Callithrix jacchus: one gene and its partner. The protein of the gene in region 2 purifies or fractionates together with the protein of the main gene of each other region. This does not show direct contact. Links are inferred from orthologs where the notes say so. Each region holds a gene or a part of one and is shown on either strand. Other genes may lie near its edges.

The links.
Region 1: the proteins of TAP1 (region 2) and TAPBP purify together in Homo sapiens (co-immunoprecipitation; 6 studies listed by BioGRID and IntAct, with this or other methods). This does not show direct contact. The link is inferred for Callithrix jacchus from reciprocal best matches to the Homo sapiens genes TAP1 and TAPBP.

Annotation. Positions count from the first base shown.
Region 1 is NC_133505.1:41,553,956-41,558,554, forward strand, and holds the start of TAPBP (tapasin), read right to left. Parts: upstream 3,006-4,599; 5' UTR 2,968-3,005; coding exon 2,931-2,967; exon of another isoform or gene 2,792-2,930; coding exon 2,621-2,791; exon of another isoform or gene 2,404-2,620; coding exon 2,143-2,403; exon of another isoform or gene 1,550-2,142; intron 1-1,549. Other genes in the region: ZBTB22 (zinc finger and BTB domain-containing protein 22), read right to left, coding at 3,925-4,599. UniProt on the Homo sapiens protein: Involved in the association of MHC class I with transporter associated with antigen processing (TAP) and in the assembly of MHC class I with peptide (peptide loading).
Region 2 is NC_133505.1:41,119,892-41,124,217, forward strand, and holds the start of TAP1 (antigen peptide transporter 1), read right to left. Parts: upstream 2,851-4,326; 5' UTR 2,808-2,850; coding exon 2,210-2,807; intron 1,677-2,209; coding exon 1,562-1,676; intron 1,414-1,561; coding exon 1,283-1,413; intron 495-1,282; coding exon 289-494; intron 1-288. Other genes in the region: PSMB9 (proteasome subunit beta type-9), read left to right, coding at 3,398-3,457. UniProt on the Homo sapiens protein: ABC transporter associated with antigen processing. In complex with TAP2 mediates unidirectional translocation of peptide antigens from cytosol to endoplasmic reticulum (ER) for loading onto MHC class I (MHCI) molecules.

The DNA of each region.
Region 1 (4,599 bases), about 430 kb from region 2:
CTGGTCAACATGGTGAAACCCCGTCTCTACTAAAAATACAAAACATTAGCTGGGCATGGTGGCGCGTGCCTGTAATCCCAGCTACTCAGGAGGCTGAGGCAGGAGAATTGCCTGAACCCAGGGGGCGGAGGTTGCGATGAGCCGCAATCATGCCTTTGCACTCCAGCCTGGGTAACAAGAGCGAAACTCCGCCTCAAAAAAAAAAAAAAAAAAAGACTATCTGTGGCAAATCTGCCCTGAACTTCCTGGAGAGCAGAATCTACATCAGATCATCTTTGTGACCCTGAAGAGTACCCAAGGCCATCCCAGAGATTCTGATTTAATCGGTCGAGCCAAACATGGATTGACTCAGGTTTCAGTATATTTTAGAAACTTCCAGCAGGATTTTTCTTTTTTTTTCTTTTTGAAACGGAGTCTCACTCTGTTGCCCAGGATGGAGTGCAGTGGATCTTGGCTCACTGCAACCTCCGCCTCCCAGGTTCAAGTGATTCTCCTGCCTCAGTCTCCCAAGTAGCTGGGACTATATGCACATGCCACTGTGCCTGGCTAATTTTTGTATTTTCAGTAGAAAAACCCATTGGGTTTCACCATGTTGGCCAAGCTGGTCTCAAACTCCCAATCTCAGGTAATCGACCTGCCTCAGCCTCCCAAAGTGCTGGGATTACAGATGTCAACCACCGCACCCAGCCCCAATGTGATTCTTATTTGCAGCCTGCACTGAGAACTACTGAGTCCTAACTCATTCTTGGTGCTAATAAGTATTTATTGAATCAATGAATAAATTAACACAGTGCCTTTTTTTTTTTTTTTTTTTTTTTTTATAGAGATGGGGGTTTCACCATTTTGGCCAGGCTGGTCTTGAACTCCTGACCTTGTGATCCACCCACCTCAGCCTTCCAAAGTGCTGGGATTACAGGCGTGAGCCACCGCGCCCGGCCACAGTGCCTCTCTTGATAGTCACAACAAGAAAGGCAGCTGGGAAATAGTACCTACATTTTACAGTTGGAAAAACAAACTCAGAAAGCAAAGAACATTCTTATCATCACCTCCATGAAGCCGGTAGCCCTAGGAAATATTTCTCCCCCAAGCCCTGACCCCAGAGAGCGCCTGTCTACACAAGAGCGGTGTTCCTCAATTTCTGCCAGGGTTGGGGCTTAAAACTAAGAATGGAGGTATAGGCAAAGGTGAGGGTTTCAGTGTGGGGTTCGAGTCTGTCTCCCTGGTTCTGTGGGTCATTCTCAGAGAGGAGGGTGGAGAGGAGGGAGGGTGCAGGGCTTGGTTGGGGTTTACCTGTCCATCAGGCTGTGTTGCTTACATAAAATCCAGATAGAAAAGTTAAGAACTCTACCTGTATTCTACTCCTGCCTCTGCTGCCAGGAGAGAGAGTTCAGGGACACCGGAGGGAATGTGCAGATAATTCAAGAATGAGGAGGATCTGACCCGGATCCTCCTCATTCTTGAATTATCTGCACACTCCCTCCCGCGACCCAGTCCAGCAAAGCATCCGACCCCTGGGCCTCAAAGTGCAATGCACCCTTTAATGCAATAGGAACCATCTGATCTCCCGCCGCCTCGCTCCGCCCACTCCAGCCCACTTGTTTTCGGACCACAGAGAGGCAGCACATCCCCACAAGCGGCTGTCAGGGAAGGTCCAAGCGCTAGAGTGCAAGAGCCTTTGCTTTGAGGATTGCCGCAGCGCCGGGTGTGGGAGAAGGTGGGGCTACGGTTTTCGAAATGGAGTGAACCTCAAAGCGGAGGGTGCCTAGCAAGATACAGATCTGGGAGGAGCAGAGAAAAAAACGCTCCTGCTTCTGGACTCCTCCCACCTCGCATCACCTGACAAGTCTCTCAAGGTCTGGTGTAGAGAAACCCCACCTTTCCAAAGCCCCGCCCTTCGAAACAAAGTAACCTCCTCCCCTCCCAGTCGCAGTTTTTTGTTGTTGTTGTTGTTGTTGTTTTAACTGAGTGAGGGCTAGAAGGAGCAGTAGAGATTGATTGATTCTAGCCAAGCCATCTCTCTTAACTAAAAAAGGAAACGGAACCCCGATTGGCGAAATGTCTGGCTCAAGTACATAAAACGAGTCCACCGGCTGATCTGGACCCTTAGAATCTACCCATCCTTCTCCACCTCCCCTCCCGTACCTGTTGCCATGGTGATGAGAACAGGCTCCTGCTGAGGCTCTGGTTGTGGTCGCAAAAGGCTGGAGAGGCTGAGGACTGGGCTGGACATGCTGACCATCAGCCAAGCCCCATCCAGGGCCCGCGGGCAGTTCTGTTCCGGGGTCAGGCCGCTGGCCCAGTTCGCAGAGGCAGGGAGAGGGACAAAGCGGCTCATCTCGCAGTGTGGCGCGGGGGCGCCCCGGGGATACCGCCTGAAGGCAGCCTGGAGGGCGCCCGCGGGGTCTGAGTGTAGAGAAGGAAGTTGCAGCTGTAGAGTCAAGGGCGGGAAAGGGGCTGGAAGGACAGGGTTCGCGGAACTTCAAATGTACAGACTACCCCATAGTGAGACTCACTTTATAGAGGGGAAGCTGAGGCCCCGAAGTCACTGCCCGATCTAAAGAGGAGGGGGTTTCTGTGGAGGTGACAGACATAGGGGAGCGGCGAGTCCCTAAAGACTCACCGTGCACATTGAGGTAGAGCTCAGGGTCGAGGTCCGGCCGGGGCGGCGGTCCCCCAGTCCCCTGGCGCAACAGCAGTGCAGCAGGTCTCTTGGCCAGGCCCTTTCCGCTCGCATCCTCCACGAGCCAACACTCGATCGCCGCCGGTCCTGCCGAGACGGCGGTCGCCAGGCCTGGCATATAGGGGCGCAAGTCAGGGGCGGCTTAGATGTCTGGTGACCTGCCCACTCCCACTCTGGCGTCGGCGCCAGTGGGGCCACCTCCCTCCGCTTCCCTCTAGTTCTTGGGCGATGAGTCGCGGGGTTCGCTCACCCAAAGCTATAGCAAGGACCAGAGACAGGGACTTCATGGCGCTGCGATCTCCTCAGCCATGAAGCCTCCTCTTCCTCCTTTCACTTTCACTTTCCTCCAAAGGACGGCAGGAGGGGCGGTGGAAATCCCCGCTCTGGTTAGGTGTGGGTGCCTGGGAGACCGGTATTTCCCTGCTGGCCAGGGAGGGATCCGGGAAGAGCCTCTCCAGTTATCGTCAGGACACCCCAGCCTTGCCCTCCTGGACCACCCAGCAGCCACGAGTTTCAGCCCTCCCCAAACCCAGCACCCCCCACCCACTCCTGTGTGCGCCCTCCAGCATCCACTTTCCCGAGAACCATTACTCCGGGTTTTCTCCACCTGTGCCGCGTCCCCAGCAAACACATGGGTTGTCGGGAAGCCAAGTAAATGACCAATAAATATTTTAATCACTGTTAAAAAAAATAAAAACCTTGTACTCCTACTACTTACTCCCTCCTTGTCTCCACCCACTCCTCTAAGAGAACCGAGTTGGGGATTTCCCCGGGAGGTGGGGTGGGTGGGGAGAGACAGGGTAGAATAAAGAGCGCATCCTTGAGATGGGGTAGGTTTTAGGACAAGGGTGGGGCTCAAAGGCCTGGTCCCAAGACAACACAAACACAGACTTCAGGCACAGACTACAACCACCTGACCCTTGACCCTGTGACTGCAGGATGCACAACACGCCCCCTCTCCCTCCCTCCATGTGCACCCTACTCTGTGGAGCCGGGGCTTCAGTGTACCCATAAGAGGGAAAGGAAGGGCTTAGTTCCAGAAATTCCTTGGGAGGAAGGGGTTGAGGAGTAGAATGGGCGGGCGATGGTGCAACTGCGGTTCCCCTTCCCAGCATATATACAAGTCCATAGAGATAAAGGAAGACAGTAATTGTGGTGGGAGACCCACTGGGGGCCAAACCGCCGTTGGATCGTGCTTATTCCCTCTTCCCCAAAAGCTACCCCCACCCCAGTAGGCTGCCCCTTCAGTTTGCTCCTCCGCCTCCACTGAAGCCCATCTCCACCTTGTGGACGCTGGGTGGGGACCACACTCGTCTGCTGGACGGGGGCGTGGCCGCACTCGCCTCGTCGCCGCTGCCCCCACCTGTTCCGGGGGATTCTCTCTTGGCCGGCAAGGTTGGCCCCGTGGGCGTCCCAGGCCCAGGTCCAGCCCCGCCGCCACCCAGGCGGTGCCGGCGCTCACAGTGTCCTCGGTGGCGCATGAAGCTGTCCCGCCACATGAACTTCTTGGCGCAGACACCGCACTCATAGGGCTTGAGACCTGTGTGCGTCTTCATGTGCTCAGTCAGATGGTGCTTCATCTTGAACTTTTTGTTGCACACGGGGCAGTCAAAGGGCCGCAGATTGAGGTGCATGTTCACGTGCCGGTCCCGCATGCTCTTGTGGGAGAAGGCCTTCCCACAATGGCACAGAAAGATCTTATTCCCATCCCCACTACCAGTCCCTCCAGGAACCCCACCAGCGCTACCAGGGACCCCCAGGCCTCCCACGGACGTGCCCCCCAGGGTCACTGCCCCGTGTTCTACTTGGTTCCCTGGTGGTTGGCCAGGAGCCTGTGAGGAGGATGAAGACGATGGGAAGACCAGGATCTGGTTGCCCTGCATGTCCAAGGGAAGGAGCGGTCGAGGAGCGTGGGAGGG
Region 2 (4,326 bases):
CTATGCCCCTTGGATACTAAAGAAATACAAGGAAGAGGAAAATGACTCAGAACAGGTTGGGGATCAAATTCTTAAATAGAGACTGTGCTAGAAAGGAAGACCTAGAGAGCATAGAGAGTAATGTTGAGCAACCTGGGAACATGGATCACAGGGACAGGGCGCTCCGTGAAGATGGAGAATCAGTAAGCGCACCAGGAAAGTTGGACTGAGAGCAATATTAGAGGCACTGAGTCTACCAACTCTGGGAGATGAGGGTCTGTTTAGAGCGGGCCAACTCCATGAACATACCTGGTACCATTTTCCCAGCTTCTTGGGCAGAAGGAAAAGCAGAGGCAGGGCCACCAGGGTGACCATGGTGAGGGGCACTGACTCCCAGAGCATGATCCCCAAGAGACACATGCCTCGCACCAGGTACCACAGAAGTGAGCTCAGATTCCCACTCAGAGACCCACTCAGGGTGGATGTGTCCTCTGTTACCCGAGACGCGATGGTACCTGCAGGGTTGGGAGAAGAGAGTGAGGCGAATCAGACAGGTTCCAAGTGAGGAGAGGAACTAACAATGAGCCAGGGTACCAAGGTGAGGGGCGTCAACAGGGGGTTCTAAGGAGGCTGTAGGAAACACGGCTAGGGGTTCTGCAAATCTCAGTGCAGGGAGGATGAGTGTTAGAGAGGAAAGGCCTGACCCAAGACCTTAATTTTTATTATAAAGACATTGATGCACATGTGAATTTCCATTTTCCTGAAAGCATTCTGTTCCCTAAAGAACCTGTATGTCCCATGCTATACACACAGGTAGGAAGAGCTTAAACTGGTCACATAACAGAAATGGAGGAGGAGGGTGCTGCTAGGAAGCATGCCAGTCTGTGGAGCCCTCACTGGGAATCAAGAGACCCCAGGTGTGTCTCTAGCCACATGTAACTGTGCGGTTTCAGCATTTAGGGTCTCAGCCTCAGTTTCCTTCTCTGTCAGATGAGGCAGTTGGTCTCTATAAGCTCAAAATTTCTGGGTTTGAAATTCTATGGTTTCTATCTAAGGATACATAGGAACAGACTTATGAGAAAATCCTTGATGAAAACTCTAGGCTTTTCTCAAAGTAAGGACAACAATATTTTGCTCCTGAGGTATATCAAGAATGAGAAAGAACAGTGTGTGTGTGTGTGTGTGTGTGTGTGCGCGCGTGCGCGTATGCGTGTCAGAGAGAGAGAGGAGGGAGGTGGGAGATCAAAGCAGATGTATGATATAAATAGTACATGGTGTATAATGAAAGAGTTTCATGAGAAACCTGTTTGGTTCTGTTGGAAAAACTCTGTCTCCTGGCGCAGGACAGCTCCAAACACCTCTCCCTGCAAGTGGCTGTGAACGCGGCCCATGGTGCTGTTATAGATCCCGTCACCCACGAACTCCAGCACTGCACTAGAAAGAGCCCGGAAAAAGGGGGTCACGGTGTGTTCAGGGAACAGACTGAAGGTCCCAGGTATCCCCATGTAAGTGCGTTTTGGACAGCAGCCCCAAATTCCAACTCCCTCTTTTGCAGAGTGAGAGCCATTTTCAACCCCCAGACCTGGCTATGGTGAGAATGGACATAAGAGTTATGTTTCGAGTGAAGGTATCCACTGAGCCTTTTTGTAGAATCCAGTCAGTGAGGCGGCCCGTGAAGAATGGAATGGCCATCTCCCCTGGGGAAAAAGAAGAGAGGTCGCGCACAAATATTGTCTAGACAGGTCAGTTCCAGTCAGACTGGCCCCACCACGCCTCCTCCCCCTCACCATTATCCTAGAGGGCATTAGAAGAAAGGAAACACTGACATCTCAATCCCGAACCTAAATAGGCTGCCCTGGAACTCACTACCCTGTGGTTGGCCTCCCAGAACTTTCAGGATTTCATTAGGAAGGCTGGAGATCATGAAGCAGAAAAGCCTCCTGTTAAAGATGAGGATGCCCGGCCCCTCTGCCCCAGGGCAAAGAACTTCCCCGCCCCCGCCGTGGCCCAGAGAATCAAGACCCGGCCAGCAACGGAGCCCAGAACTCCTGACTCCCTCCAGTTCAATGACGTTTCTTCTACACTGAAGTGGTCTTCCAAGACCCACGCTAGGACTTCTTCCCCTGCTGCACATTTCCCAGAACCCACGCTACTCTACCTCACTGACAATTACCTTAGTTTCCTGCCCGGTCCCCTTGTGTCGCCCCCTCGCGCCCTGCGTTCCCCTTACCAATAGAGGATAGGACCACCAGGACCAGGAACAGCGAGAGGCGGCGCATCTCCGGGCCCAGGAAACCTAGAAGCCGACGCACAGGGTCTCCAGAGCCTCCCTGACTGCCGGGCACCCAGAGGCCCCCAAGCTTGTGCCACAGGGCGGCTGCGGGCAGTGCCGCCGCGTAGCTGACGACGAAGGCGCTGGGGTGACTTCCCCAATGCAGTAGCCTGGTGCTATCCGCGGCTCCGGGGGCTCCCCACGAAACCAGCTCTCGGAACGAGGCAAGTCCCGGCAGGGCCAAGCCCAGTGCCGCAGCCAAAGGCTCCAAAGCCGCCAGCCAGCCCTGGGCACCTGCATTTTCGCTCTTGGAGCCAACTGTTGCCCTGAGGACCCCGCGGGCCCCCAGCCACAGCATGGCCCAACGGCTCAGGCCCACCGCCCAGACCCGGAGCAGCGGCAGCGTCGCGGGCACCAGCAGGGAGAATATGCAGGGCAGCGAGGTCCGGAGCAACACCCCGTCGGCGAGAAGCAGCAGCACTGTCCCCCACCACGCGACAGAAGCTCCGAAAAGGCAGGGGCGCCCGCGGGGAGCGGGACACCTAGAACTAGCCATGGGCACGCTGACGCCGTCCGGGTCCGGGCCGGACCTGAAACTCTCCTCGCTCCGGTTGGGCGGGAGTCTCTGGGTACCGCTGAGTCCGCCCCTACCGGCGGTTGAGGGACAGAGCGAGGGCGGGGCTCTCGGAAAGTCCCAGAACCGACTGATCGGTGCTGGCGAGAAGCGCAGCCATTTAGGGGAAAGCGAAATCGAAAGCGGCAGTCTGCCCACTAGATACGCGCACTTCCAAAAGTGGCCTGCCCAGATTATTTTGGGAGCAAGCGTGGAAATCAAATCTGAGAATCTGGGGAGCAGCACTGGTGCCCAATTTTCTCCATCACGCACACCGCTCCCGCTTCTCCCTGCCTCCTGCCTCTCCACTAGTACCAGTTTTCCCACCCAGCCTCAGGGCGGGGCTGACTCGTCACTTGTCTCCGGGCAGATCCAGCCTACACAGGTTAGCGCCGGGCGCTAAGCCGCTCCGCGGCACCCAAGCGCCTCCTGGCGGTGCCGCGGGGGGCGGGGCTGCCGGCTGCGCGCTGCGCGCTGTCCCAGGTCCGAAACTAGTGCCCCAGGCGGCGACGAGCGCGAGGTGCCTGGCAGGGATGCTGCGGGTTGGAGCGCCAACTGGGGACTTACCCTGGGCAGGAGAAGTCCACACCGGGGTAATGGGTCTGGGCTTGAGGGTTGGCAGAGGGGTGGAGGAGGTGCAGCGGCCGGGAAGCGCGGAGAAGTGACTGCAGAGACTGACCTGAGAATAGGGTGGTAGTCTCTAGCAGCCAGCGGTTGCAACGCATAATGAGCATAGCGTATTTCTATTCTGAGGGGGGTCGTCTAGGGTGTCCCTGAAGGCACGCAAGGCTGGTGGAAAGGGGGGTGCTTTGACTCTTAGCTAGAAGCGTCAAGGGGAAGCTGCTCTAAAGCGCTTTCGCTTTCACTCTGGTCGGGACAGTGGGGGCTGGTTAAATCAAGAAAGGGGGTTGGGGACATGCAAAAAGATGAGGAAATGGTACCGGGGTGAAGCAGAACACCACTTGGGAGAAGGAAACATGGTCACTTAATTGAGAAGGACCAACTCATCACGCAGACTTTTGATAAATTTGCCACTGGGTAACTCTTAACCCAAGCACTGATAATGGGGGTTCTGCGTTAACCTGTGATGCCCTTCCCTAGCTTGACCCAGGAAGGCCCCTCCTTGACCCAGATGCTGCCTTGCTCCCTTTTCTGTGTCTTCCCTGCCCACTCCCATGTGCCCACTGGGGGACTGTGCTTAGGATGGGAGCCTGGGGCAGATGGTAGCCCCAAGGCTGGCTGGCTTCTGCTCTCAGACTACTGACACCACTTGTGTCTTGGGTGAGGCTTTTTTATAGAGGAATAGCTCCTAAGATGAAGCTGACTGTTCTCTGGCCCTCTATTCATGATAAGTTGGTCTGGCAGAAAGCACACTCAGAGGAGTGTCCTTTGGGGCCAGAGTAACTTATGGCCTGGTAAGAAAGGCACAGTAAAACCACATAATTTGTGAAATCTCCCCTAA